3 linked regions of the Cricetulus griseus genome follow. The protein of the gene in region 3 interacts with the protein of the main gene of each other region in a pairwise test. Links are inferred from orthologs where the notes say so. Each region holds a gene or a part of one and is shown on either strand. Other genes may lie near its edges.

Region 1 (3,647 bases), on a different chromosome or scaffold from region 3:
CCCTGTCTCGAAAAACAAACAAAACAAAACAAAACAAAAATGCCTGCAGCTTGAGGACTAGTGTTAATCCCTAGAATCTACACAAAAATGATGGGTGACCGGAAGTGAGGCAGATGAATCTGGGGTTTGCTGGACACTCATAACACAAGGTGTATGGTTCCTGAGAAACAAGCCCTGAAGCTGACCCCTGCTCTTGACACAAGTGCGTGCACCTGCACACACAGACAGAAAATAATAAAAACGGACAAAATGGCAACAATAATCTTTGCACTGTAACCTCCTTCTATTAGCCGGGGGCCATCATACCGGGAGCAGTGACCGCCCCTCAGATGTGACGAGCACATTGATACTGCACGGGAACTCCATCTGGTGGTAACTGAAGTCATAATCCACCTTCTGCCAGGTTATCAGGTTGCTCAGCGCAGTCACATTATGAACACCTGGAAGAGGAAGACTGTTACTGGCAGTGATATTTTAATCACCTACGCAAATTAGCTTGGCTGGCAATGATAATAGGACATGTGGTTTTCTGCTGCTTAAAGAAAGATAACAGTAGCCAACAATTTAGCAAGCAGAATGTTGGCAAGTCAAATGTCAACTAGATAAGCTACACAGACAATAATAGGCCAACTTGAACTTTCTGGGGCCAAAATACACCCAAATCTAATACCAGACACAAAGTAGAACTCAGATAAGTTCATTACTTCTTAGGTCATGGCTATGATTAGATAGGAAAATGATTTCTTTAGAAAGTGAGGTTGTTGAGTTTTCCCAATTTATGTATTTTTGAGACAGGGTTTTATTGAAGCCCATGCTAGCTTTGAACTCCTAGTTCTTCTGTCTCTACCACCAATGCAGGTGGGTGCCACCACTTCTGGCTAATCTTTACTGATTCTATGCTCCACTTTGGCTCACAAATTCCAAACACTCATTATTTCTCCCATCCACCTTTTGTGCCTCAGCCTCATACCAGCACAATATCACCTGCATTCTCTCCATGTGGGCATGATCTAGTATGTTCTTTGTCATTTTTAACATGTTACATAGCTGATGTTAGTTTAAACCATATGCTCTATCCCCCCCAAACTATAAAAACTGTTTATGAGAAATATAAAATATTACATTAAATCTTTTGTATCCTTTTTTGAGCTAATAAGCAATCAACAGCATGACATAACAAAACAGTTGGTGTATAATTTGTAGTATATGCTTTAGTCAAATGAATGTTTTAAAAATATTTGTTAAATGTAACTTTGTCTTGGAAGCCACTGCTAGATCTGGCTAAATGGAGTAAAGCCACAAGGGGTCAGGAGGCATCTGCATGCGTACCTGAGGTGTCCAACTGCCCTTGCTCTAGAAGAGTCTCATCAATGACCAGGGACGTGTTGTTGGGCAGCTGGAGGAGACCGCTGACCAATCGATTGGCTGTATAGTCTTTGTGGGGAATGAATTTCAATTGGTTCATGTTTTCTATTGTCATCTGTAGACGAAAAGACTGAGACAGAAATTGTAATGAGCAAGGATACAAGTTTCTCTATTTAAAAAAATGCACAGATACATATTTGGAGTCAAAACATTTGTGTTTCACATGGTATATCATTTCTAAGGGAGAGACAAATGTCTCTCTTAGGAACTGTGGCCACACTACAACCCATGCTTCTTATAGATAGCTGCTTGTTCTGTCTTCAGCTGGGCCTGGAACATGCTAAACAGAGAAGGCCACACAGAGATACAAAGAAAATTTGTTTTTTTCAAGTCTTGATGAGTAAATTTTACTCTGAAACAAATGGTAAACAACTGAGGTTCAAACATAACATCCCCAGAAGCTGAACCTCATTAAGGGATAGGAACTAGTAAAACATAAGAACTGCTGGTCCTCCTCACGGAGGCCAGAGAAAAGGCTCTGTGACTGAAAGCCCCCATTCCTTTACCACTGCAGACCTCACTGTCAACACTACAGCCCAGAGCATGGCCCTCCCCCATCTCTGCCTCTAACACACTCAACAGTCTCCTGTCTGCTCTAGATTGCTCTACTCATATATGTTCCAGCCTCCAGAAAAGCAAGGCATGGGAAGTTTGTGGAGGAGGAAGAAGACTACAGCCAAAATTTAAGAGAATTTTGTACTTTAGCTCAATTACTCTTAAAAAGAGGACAGGAATTGTTTACAGATACAGATGAAATCTCAGAAGAGGCAGGGCTTGTCAAAAAAGGTAGCTGGCTGTAGAGATGGCTCAGTGGTTAAGAACACTGGTTGTTGCAGAAGACATGGGCTCTATTCCCAGCAGTGGCTCACAGCTATCCATACCTCCAGTTGCAGGTTACCCAACACCTTCTTTTGACCACCATGGGCACCAAGCATGTTTGTGATGCACAGATATACATGCAAGCCAAACACTTATATACATAAAAATTTCACACTTTAAAACAAAAAAGTGTCCATGTGCTGGGGCTGGGGCTGATTCTGCCGTAGACCTACAGGCAGGACACATTTAACCAGTAGTAAAAGCTGAACGTTGTATTACAGAGAGAAGACAATTGAGAAAGGGCCTAGTACCAACCAGTATGCTAAGAGTGATAAAAGAGACAGGGTCAGAAAAAAGCAAAGCAAGAAAATTAACCAGAATAAAATGCAAACACCTACCACATTGTCGTCTCTAAGCCCCTTCTGCCACCCTCCCATGTAATAATGTAGCCAGTGTCTTCAGTGTGCCAAGAACCTCTGGCCTCACAACTGAGATCTGATGGCTTTTGGCACAGCTGGTACCACACCAGCTTCTTTGCTGACATCCCTTAGAAGTCACGCTGTTCCTTACTGCCTTTGCCTGTCCTCCAGGTAAGAAAACATGATATGTTCCCGGGCAGCCACCAGGTCTGCTCCCTTCTGTATTAATGGGTATATGGGCACCCCCAGTGTTCCCATCCCATTTCAAGGGTTTCAGTGTTCTGCTGTAACTTTTAAAAGCACACACCAGCGATTACTTTCTTGGTCTTGAACCACAAACACATAACTCAGAGATCCTATTTCAGGAGTTGTAGGCCTAGGGAACTGCTAAGATCCTATTAACAGGGTCTATGAATGAAAGTCCCATTTTTACTCTTACTCTTTCAAAATAGAGGGCAGAGAGTGTTTTCACTATAGAGAATGTGCTATCATCTAAGAAACACACCAGATCAAAACATACCACAGGTGTGAATTTGGGAACGGACTAAAAATCTAGGGGTCTCCCATTACTTTAGAAATTCAAGAGCTTGGTAAAATGCAAAACAGTGTCAGTTTTATCACTATGTTGATAAATCTAATGGATTATTCAACATGTCTTCAGTTTTAATTACTAATGTCAGAAATTAGGGAAAGCATAGCCCATTGAATATGGCCCTAAGTCCTCAGAACTCTGCTGCTTCTGCAGGGCCTGAAGTACAGACATGACAGGCTGTTCAGTTAAGGACCTGGCTTCACTTTTTAAATCCCATAGAATTGGCCAGCATTTTTAGTTACACAACTCATCAGAGTAATTCTCCTGTTCCCAAGATCCCAATACACAGATGGTATGTTCCAGATGCTTCCAAACAGCACCTAAAACTAGGGTATGGAGATAGGCCGCTTTATTACCTCGGCTGAGAGAATTGGCTCGTATAATTTAGAGCT
Region 2 (3,747 bases), on a different chromosome or scaffold from region 3:
TGTCCTGTGAGTCTGCTAATAGCGTCTAAAACCTTAAAACTTAAGATTTGGTATTTATTTTGTTACCACTCTCTTGTCTGAATCCTACTTACTGTATTTTCTGTATGCTCAGAGTTTTAAACCTGTTAGACTCACTCCTAAGAGTGATGGAAAAGCAGAACTGCCCCGAGGTTCCAGGAGTTGGCTAAAAAAGCATGATGCCTGTGTCTTTAAGAACAGACAAGCCGGGGCCAGCCGAGGACACGGGTTCAGGGCCACATCACGTGTGACCGACTGCTTCCCCCTCCCTCCCCCACCACGCACCCTCACATTCCCGGGCCCCGCCTCCTCGCGCGTGAGAGCGCGTGCGCGCAGCAGGGAGGGAGGACTCACGTGGCGCGTGAATGTGCAGCACTGGTTTTGCCTGGAGGTCGGATCAGGGACAGGTGTACCCAGGCGTCCCACAACGAGACTCCTTGTCTTGATAGGGGTCGCCTCCCCTCTTGTTCCTTTTGGTCTCAGCTCCAACAACTCCAAGGATTTTTCCCACCCACCCCGCGTTTATGGGGATCATGGGAGAACCAACCGGCCTGACAGGCCCTTTGACACCGGGACTCCCACAACTCTGATACTAAGTCCCAGTCGCAGGAATATGGACAACACAGAGTCGGTACCCCGACATTCTCTGCTAAAAGACTCTGGGAGCCAGGGTGCAACATCCTTTCCACTGGGGGTGGGGGAAGAGGATCCGGGAACCTAGTGCCCAGCTCTGGCCTGCTCCCATTTTTGATGTCCTTCAAGTCCAGTCCTATCTCGTTTCGCAAAATTCTGGACACAGACTTGGAGTCAGTCCGCTCCCCAGTTAACTAAGTGTTCTGAGTTTCTAGTCTTGACTCCGGGAACGTGAGGAAGCTTTTTCCTGAAGAAAAACACAGCCTCTCACCGGATAACCCTCACATTTGGGGGCCCAGGTCCCCTAACGGACCGCCGCATCTCATTGGGCAGACTTCCAAGAGCGTCGCGAAGCCCATCCCCTGCCCGCCAGCCCCGCCCCTTCGCCGCACCTGCGCGGTGGCCGCCGCCGGCTCCCAGAGTAGCCCGCGCGGGGGCGTGCCCCGGCGAGGAGCGGGGGGAAGAGGAGCCGCAAGAGCCGGGCCCCGGGGAGGGCGCGGGCGTGCGAGCTGGAGAGGGTGCCGGCGACAGGACCCCGGGGGGCGGCGGGCTCGGCGGGAGCCCGTGCTCCAGCAGGAAGGCGTCCAGGTCCACGTATTCCACGTCGCCGAAAGGCAAAGTGCGTTCCCACAGCAGCGGCGCAAAAAGACTCGGGCCAGCCGCCGGCCCTGAGCGCCCCCGCGGGGACCCACCGCCACCAAGCGCCCCAGTCGGGGCATCGGCTGGGCCAGCCGTTTCCAGGCCCGGTCCCGGGATGGGAGCTGAGGGCAGAGTCGCCTTCCGCTCCTTTTCCTTTAGGAGACCTGTGGGTCAGGGAGAGACGGGATGGGGTGGAGACACACAGGAGGGACCCCAAATGAAGAGATGAAGTATAGAGACCCGCATGGCGGAGATGCAGAGAGGTGAGGAGATGGGAGCAGTAGAGCAAAGACCCAGAGATGTGGGAACAGGTAGGGAGACAGGCGCCCAGAAAGAGGAAAGGCATACAGACGGGGTTGAAGAGACCCAGAGAGAGGAACAGTGTATAGAGTGTATAGAGGATAGAGACAGAAACACAGAACAACCCAGAGGAAAAGGATGGAAGTTTAGAAAGAGGGATTTAGAGACAGGGTGGGTCAAAGGTGAGAGACAAAAAGTGACAGCTCAGTAATTCCCCCACCCCTGGCCCTCTCATCCCCTCCCCCACAACGTTAGGGGCAGGAAGGGGCTCCACTGCTCAGGCACATTCCTCATCTCTAGTTTCCATGTGAGCGTTGAGGCCCCGCCCAAACCCGTGTCAGCACCGTGTGAGCATCCGACACACCCCCTCCCTTCCCCAGGACTACAGGGGTCCAGACTCGAGACTAAAGGGGAAAAACTGGGGGCTGGCACATAGAGTAGGTCCTAATGGCGGAAGACTTTGGGGACTAGACCCTTGGGCCTTTCGGATATCAGATTTGGCCATGGATGGAGAGAGACTAAACACCTGAGTGACCGAATGAGGACTGGCAAAGATGGGGCACCTAGCACATAGGTGCCATAGACCACCACCCCAACATTTGAGTCCTTAAGACAGTGGGACTAGAACTCACAGCTGGCTGGCTCTTTGGGCTTGCCGGTCCCCTGTAGAAGGCCCCGCAGCCCAAGCAGCGCTCCCCCACCAGGGGGGGTCCCGGCCGGGCCTCCCAACAGCAGGGGGCCCGGGGTCCTGTCGCTCAGAGGCCGCGCCATCGCCGGACACCTGCTCCCAGGTTCATGAGCTCATGGAGAGTCGAAGAGATGATATGCCAGTCACCTGCACACTCCTGTGGTTCGGACGAGTGTGACCCAGGGTCGGGAGAGCGCGGTGTGCAAGCCTCCAATATCAGAACGCTGAAAATCCTAAGAGCTCTGCGGGGGTCAGCCAGTCCTCTGCAGAAAGCTGTAACTCAAAGAGTGTCCCGGGAGGATCCTATAGTCTGGGCAAGTGGGTGACCAAGCAGCTGTCTCTTCTTCGCAACTGAGGGTCCCCAAGGGACACAGGCGCGCACTCCTTCTGTACCAGGTGGGCGAGCCTCTGGCTCTCGAAAAATTTGCACTTCTCGCAAGGAAAGGAGCTTTGCAGTCTGCACCTAGAGGTGTGCGCCCGGGGGAGGAGGAGGCGGCAGCCTTGAGGCGTGGCAAAAGCAAACTTATTTCGCGGAAAAAAAAAAATCCAAACCAAAACACCCGAAGTCAGAGCGCGTGCCCCTCCTCCGGGCCCCCTCCTCCTCTTGGGCCATGCATCCCAGCCGCGTGCCTGCCTCCGGCTTCAATCAAGGCCAATCAGGTCTCGAACCCTTGAGATGCCCGGCCAATGAGGTGACGGAATCTGCCAAGACCCTGGAGGCGCGTGAGGGGTTGAGCTTGTGAAGTTGCCTCTCCTTTTGGAAGAAGGCGGGACACTGACCTACATTTGGCCAATGAGAGGAGGCACTGGGGGCGGGACCGTGACCCACTTCGAGCCAATGAGGCAGGAAGAAGGGGGAAGCACATGGCTCCGCGCGTGCAGTCGGATTCGGGTGTGGGGCAGGAGGGGTGCATCTTAAAGGAGCAGCCTATTCACGGGCTCATTGCTTGGGAAAAGCGCAGAGCGCCAATTAGAGCATGTTAAGGCAGAAAGAAGTGGGCTTCAAGAAGGATTAGTTACTAATACCCAGATACTTCTCAATCGCGACTGAGAATCAAACCCACGAGAGGCTGGAAGCATTCAGTCCTTTAATAGGTTTGTTTTAGGGTGACTCCCCTTTCCTCGTGAGGAAGCTCAGGACAGGCGGGAGTAATCTTCGTAGGGGGTCTCAGCGACCATGAGAACCAGCATCCACTGCAAAAGAAGGTGCCGGCTTGTGGTGGGGAGGTTGAGCGCAGAAGGCTCTGCCACAATCTGGCTGCTAACGAGGGCTGGAATATACCAAGTTGGGGAAAATAGCTTCTCAGACTATATAGGGAGGGAAGAAGGTCAGACGGAACGTGCAGATTAGGCTGACGGTCTGCGTAAAGGTTGTAGTACTTGAAGAGGAAATGGGAATCTGGACTGTACCATGTACCCTGTTGAGAAAATTTCCGGGGGCAGAACCACAGAGTGGCAGTAAGGAAAAC
Region 3 (3,747 bases):
TACACACACACACACACACACACACACACACACACACACACACACACACACACGTGCGCCAATTCCAAGGACAGAGGCAAGCTTGATTTTATTTTTAGTTACTGACATTTGTCCTGATTACATAATAGCAACATCCTAGCCAACTAAGCTTTCTCTAAATTCCAGATAGACCTCAAATCTGCCAGAGTGAGGGCTGCACTACAGGGAAGAGAAAAATATGTGGGTGGCACTTGCTACATATACTCCAATATCATATTGGCCGCTTCTGGTCTAGACCTGTCCTGGGACCTCCAACTCTGTTGTCTACTTGCTATATCACCTTTTGAATGTCTATCAGGCATTTACAACAATCTCCTGCTGGCCTTTCCTTTCCTAGGTTGTATTATTCTAAGTGGCAACTCTACTTGCTTAAATCAAAAAAAAAAAAAAAAAAAAAAAAAAGGTATCCTTGCTTCCTCCTCTCACATCCCCACAACTCAGTATAAAGCAGCACAGGCAGCTTTAATACATTCTTTTTAAGTACCTAAAGCCTGAGTATTTTCTTTCTTTTTTTTTCAAGACAAGGTCCTAGAACTTGCTCTATAGACCAGGCTGGTCTTGAACTCACAGAGATCCACCTGCCTCTGCCTTCCAAGTGCTGGGATTAAAGGTGTGGGTTACTGCCATCCAGCAAGCCTAAGTATTTCTGTTCCCATTATTTCCAAATGGAAATCAATTTACCTCACTTCCCGAAGATTACTGTGGAAGACTCATTCAAGAAATCTCCCATTTCTTTTTTTCTAGACAGAGTCTCACGATGTAGCCATGGCAGTCCTGGAACTCATTATGTAGACCAAATTGGCCTCAAATACACACAGATTTTATTACCTCTGCTTCCTGAGTGCTGGGATTAAGGTGTATGTCACCATGCTCTATCAAGATCTACCATTTCTATTCCTGTCTTTTATTAGTTTAGTTTCATAGTTGGGGGTTGACCATAGGTCCTCTATAAGCTAGGCAAGCAGTCTACCATTGAGCTACATTCCCATCCTTTTATTTTTGTATTCATTTGAGTCAAGGTCTCACTATGTAGTCCTGGCTCCTGAACTCAGAGATTTGCCTGCCCCTGCCTGAGTGTTGGAATCAAATACATATGCCATGACACTGGGCCTTATTTCATTCCTCTACCCAGATCCCTCCAGTGGCTTCCTGTTTACCCCACCCTCTCTCATATTCACTCCCATCCAGCCACTGCCCTATTTTACCAGACATGCTTTATCTTAACCCTTCTGCTCCCACAGTTCCTTCTGGAAAGCTCGTTTACTCTATCTGCATGGCTCACAGGCTTGCCTTCTCTGGATCTTTCACTAAAAACCCCAGTGAGGCAATTCCTAACACCCACAATCCTGAGCACTCTTATTTGTCAGCTCTTGCTTTCTGCAGAAATACAGGCCCAGGCCGAATTGAGATCAGTTTTATCTTTTGCTCCTCATATACTCTGGGTTCTCAAATGCTTGGCACATAGTTGATGTTTATTAAGCATTTGTTAGGAATGAATAGGGAAAAAGCCACTCCCCCAATTTCCCCTACAGAGAATGGAGGGCTAAGCCCAGAGGCAGAGCCGGTGCTGCCTATCTCTGGGGACTGGAGATGCAATATTGCCCTGAGTGTTTCTCTGCAGGGCTGTCCTCTGGGGGAAACTCCCTCGGTTTTCCAGTGTGTGGGGCCTGGCTTTCATCAGCAGTGGAGCCCCAGGCCAGAGGGCGCAGAGATAAACAGTGGGCCGGCCTGACGCAATGGTTACAGAGATTAGTGAGGAGTGGACTGGGGAAAGAGACAGAACTCAATCCTAGGAGCAGCACAAGACCCTGGAGAGAGCCCAAATAATGTCCCACGGTTACAGATCCAGGCTGCTCTCTTGTACAGAAGCCTCCGGGGAAAAGGGGAAAACCCATCTGTGCTCCTCCCACCAGCACCCCGCTAGCAAAGGTCTGTCAGTCTTACGATTCTCTTGAACTTTAGGGTCAGCGACTAAGGTGGCCATGCTGGCCCCCGAGGAGCTTGGGAGAGCCGGGGATAACGAAGCTGTTGGATAAGAGGGGGAAAAGCCAGAGTCCTTTATATGGGGGTGTGTCCTGCTGCCCCGCCTTTCACCGGACAGGCCTAGGATGGCCCGCAGTTCGCCGTACAGAGGAGGAGGATGGATCTCCCGGGGACAACCAGAGTCCCTCTGCCTAACGGCACAGTCTAACTAGGCAGGGGAACGGTGATGCAATCGCCCGTAGGAAGAGGGGTCATGTGAGCGCCACTCCAGGGTCAGGGACTCCCGCCTCCATCCCTCCCTCCGACTACAGGGCCACTTTGGAAGGGGTGGGGCTACATCCTCCAGAGCAGTCGCCCCCAACTTTATGGACTAGCCATGCTGGCGAGAATGGGGAAAGAAGGGGTAGACGGCGTCGGTACTCGCCTCGCTCCTCAGGTCCCGGCTTTTATTTTGGCTCTGTCGCTGCCACCCGTTCATCTTCAACATGATATGACCGAAGTGTGAGACTCAGGCTACTGACCTCTGCAGCGCCGAGAGAAGATATTTTATGCGGGCCCGTCCCCTCTTTTGGGGGCGGGACCCAGGAGCCTGCCAATCAGAAAGCGGCACGCTGGCACTGACTCCGCCCCACCCCTCACATCCGCCACTCAGGAGCCCCCTCGGCCCCGCCTCCGCCCCGCCCTCTGGTTGGAGAGCTACGTTGTCTCGGACCCGGAAGTGGCTTTGGGTCACGAGGCTCCGCGGAGGAGGTGAGTGAGTCATGCACGCGCGCGCGCGCGCGCGCGCGCGGGCGGGCGAAGGAGAGTGCGGCGAGGGAGGGATGACGGGGGGCGGGGATGATGCAATGTTTGGCAACCGGTGTCTGCGCGCGCGCACGCGCAGGGGCCGCCGACGGTGGTGGGAGGCGCGGGTGGGGGGGTGAGAGGGAAGAGGGCGGAGCGCCAGCTCCCAGTATCCAACGGCCCCAACGGCTGTCCTTCCTGAACTTGTCTGCCCAGGAGCTGCGGCTCTGCCCACCCACCTCCCATCACCTCCAACTTGCTCCTCCATCCAGACTCCCAGCTTCCCGGCCCCTCCCAGCTCATGCGCGCCGAGGCCCTGGAACCGCGATAAAGTTTCCATTAGTCCTACCTGGACTGACATCTTCTCCAGCCCTTTAGAAGGGATCTCATCTCTTTTAACCTCCTAACGCTTCCCAGAGGCTGAGGTCCTGGCATTTCCATGGTAGTCCACCCGCTTGTCTCGGGGGAGCACCTTTGGCGTTTGTTTCTGAGTCGCCCACTGCACGCCAGAATTCCTGTTCTTTGTAGCGTGCACCCGAGTCCCACCCCCTACTTATCGCACCCCTGCTCGGCGCCCACCCTTTCTCTTCTCCCTGACCGCAAGTCCTGTGACTCCCTGCTGAGCAGCGGGCCTGTAGGAGTCTGGGGTCATGACCTACAGTAAGGACTGGGACGTGCATGCAGTTGAGCGTATGCCTGCCCTGGACTGCGTTACCGGAGGGAACACAGATTCTACCTTAATTTGTAAATGAAAGAACGAGATTTGGAAGGAAAGACCACTGTGAGGGGGGCAACTTGAACTAAAGTAAAAAACACCTTGCGAAACGTATTTTTTTGTGCCATGAAAACAGAGGCCATGTGGTGGCCTAGCACACACAGTCTGTCATGCACTCAAGAGAGGCAAGCCAGAGTTTCTCTGAGCAGAAACTGCACCAGGACCGG

What was found.
Region 1: the proteins of Ddit3 (region 3) and Mcmbp interact in binary tests that used the Homo sapiens proteins (3 or more experiments, as listed by UniProt). The two-hybrid records come from large-scale screens. The link is inferred for Cricetulus griseus from reciprocal best matches to the Homo sapiens genes DDIT3 and MCMBP.
Region 2: the proteins of Ddit3 (region 3) and Dbp interact in binary tests that used the Homo sapiens proteins (3 or more experiments, as listed by UniProt). The link is inferred for Cricetulus griseus from reciprocal best matches to the Homo sapiens genes DDIT3 and DBP.

Annotation. Positions count from the first base shown.
Region 1 is NC_048596.1:72,047,509-72,051,155, reverse strand, and holds part of Mcmbp (mini-chromosome maintenance complex-binding protein), read right to left. Parts: intron 1,496-3,647; coding exon 1,330-1,495; intron 441-1,329; coding exon 307-440; intron 1-306. UniProt on the Homo sapiens protein: Associated component of the MCM complex that acts as a regulator of DNA replication.
Region 2 is NC_048599.1:154,605,555-154,609,301, reverse strand, and holds the start of Dbp (D site-binding protein), read right to left. Parts: upstream 2,428-3,747; 5' UTR 2,362-2,427; coding exon 2,223-2,361; intron 1,455-2,222; coding exon 1,044-1,454; intron 1-1,043. UniProt on the Homo sapiens protein: This transcriptional activator recognizes and binds to the sequence 5'-RTTAYGTAAY-3' found in the promoter of genes such as albumin, CYP2A4 and CYP2A5. It is not essential for circadian rhythm generation, but modulates important clock output genes.
Region 3 is NW_023276806.1:130,434,742-130,438,488, forward strand, and holds the start of Ddit3 (DNA damage-inducible transcript 3 protein), read right to left. Parts: upstream 2,239-3,747; 5' UTR 2,024-2,238; coding exon 1,984-2,023; intron 1-1,983. UniProt on the Homo sapiens protein: Multifunctional transcription factor in endoplasmic reticulum (ER) stress response. Plays an essential role in the response to a wide variety of cell stresses and induces cell cycle arrest and apoptosis in response to ER stress.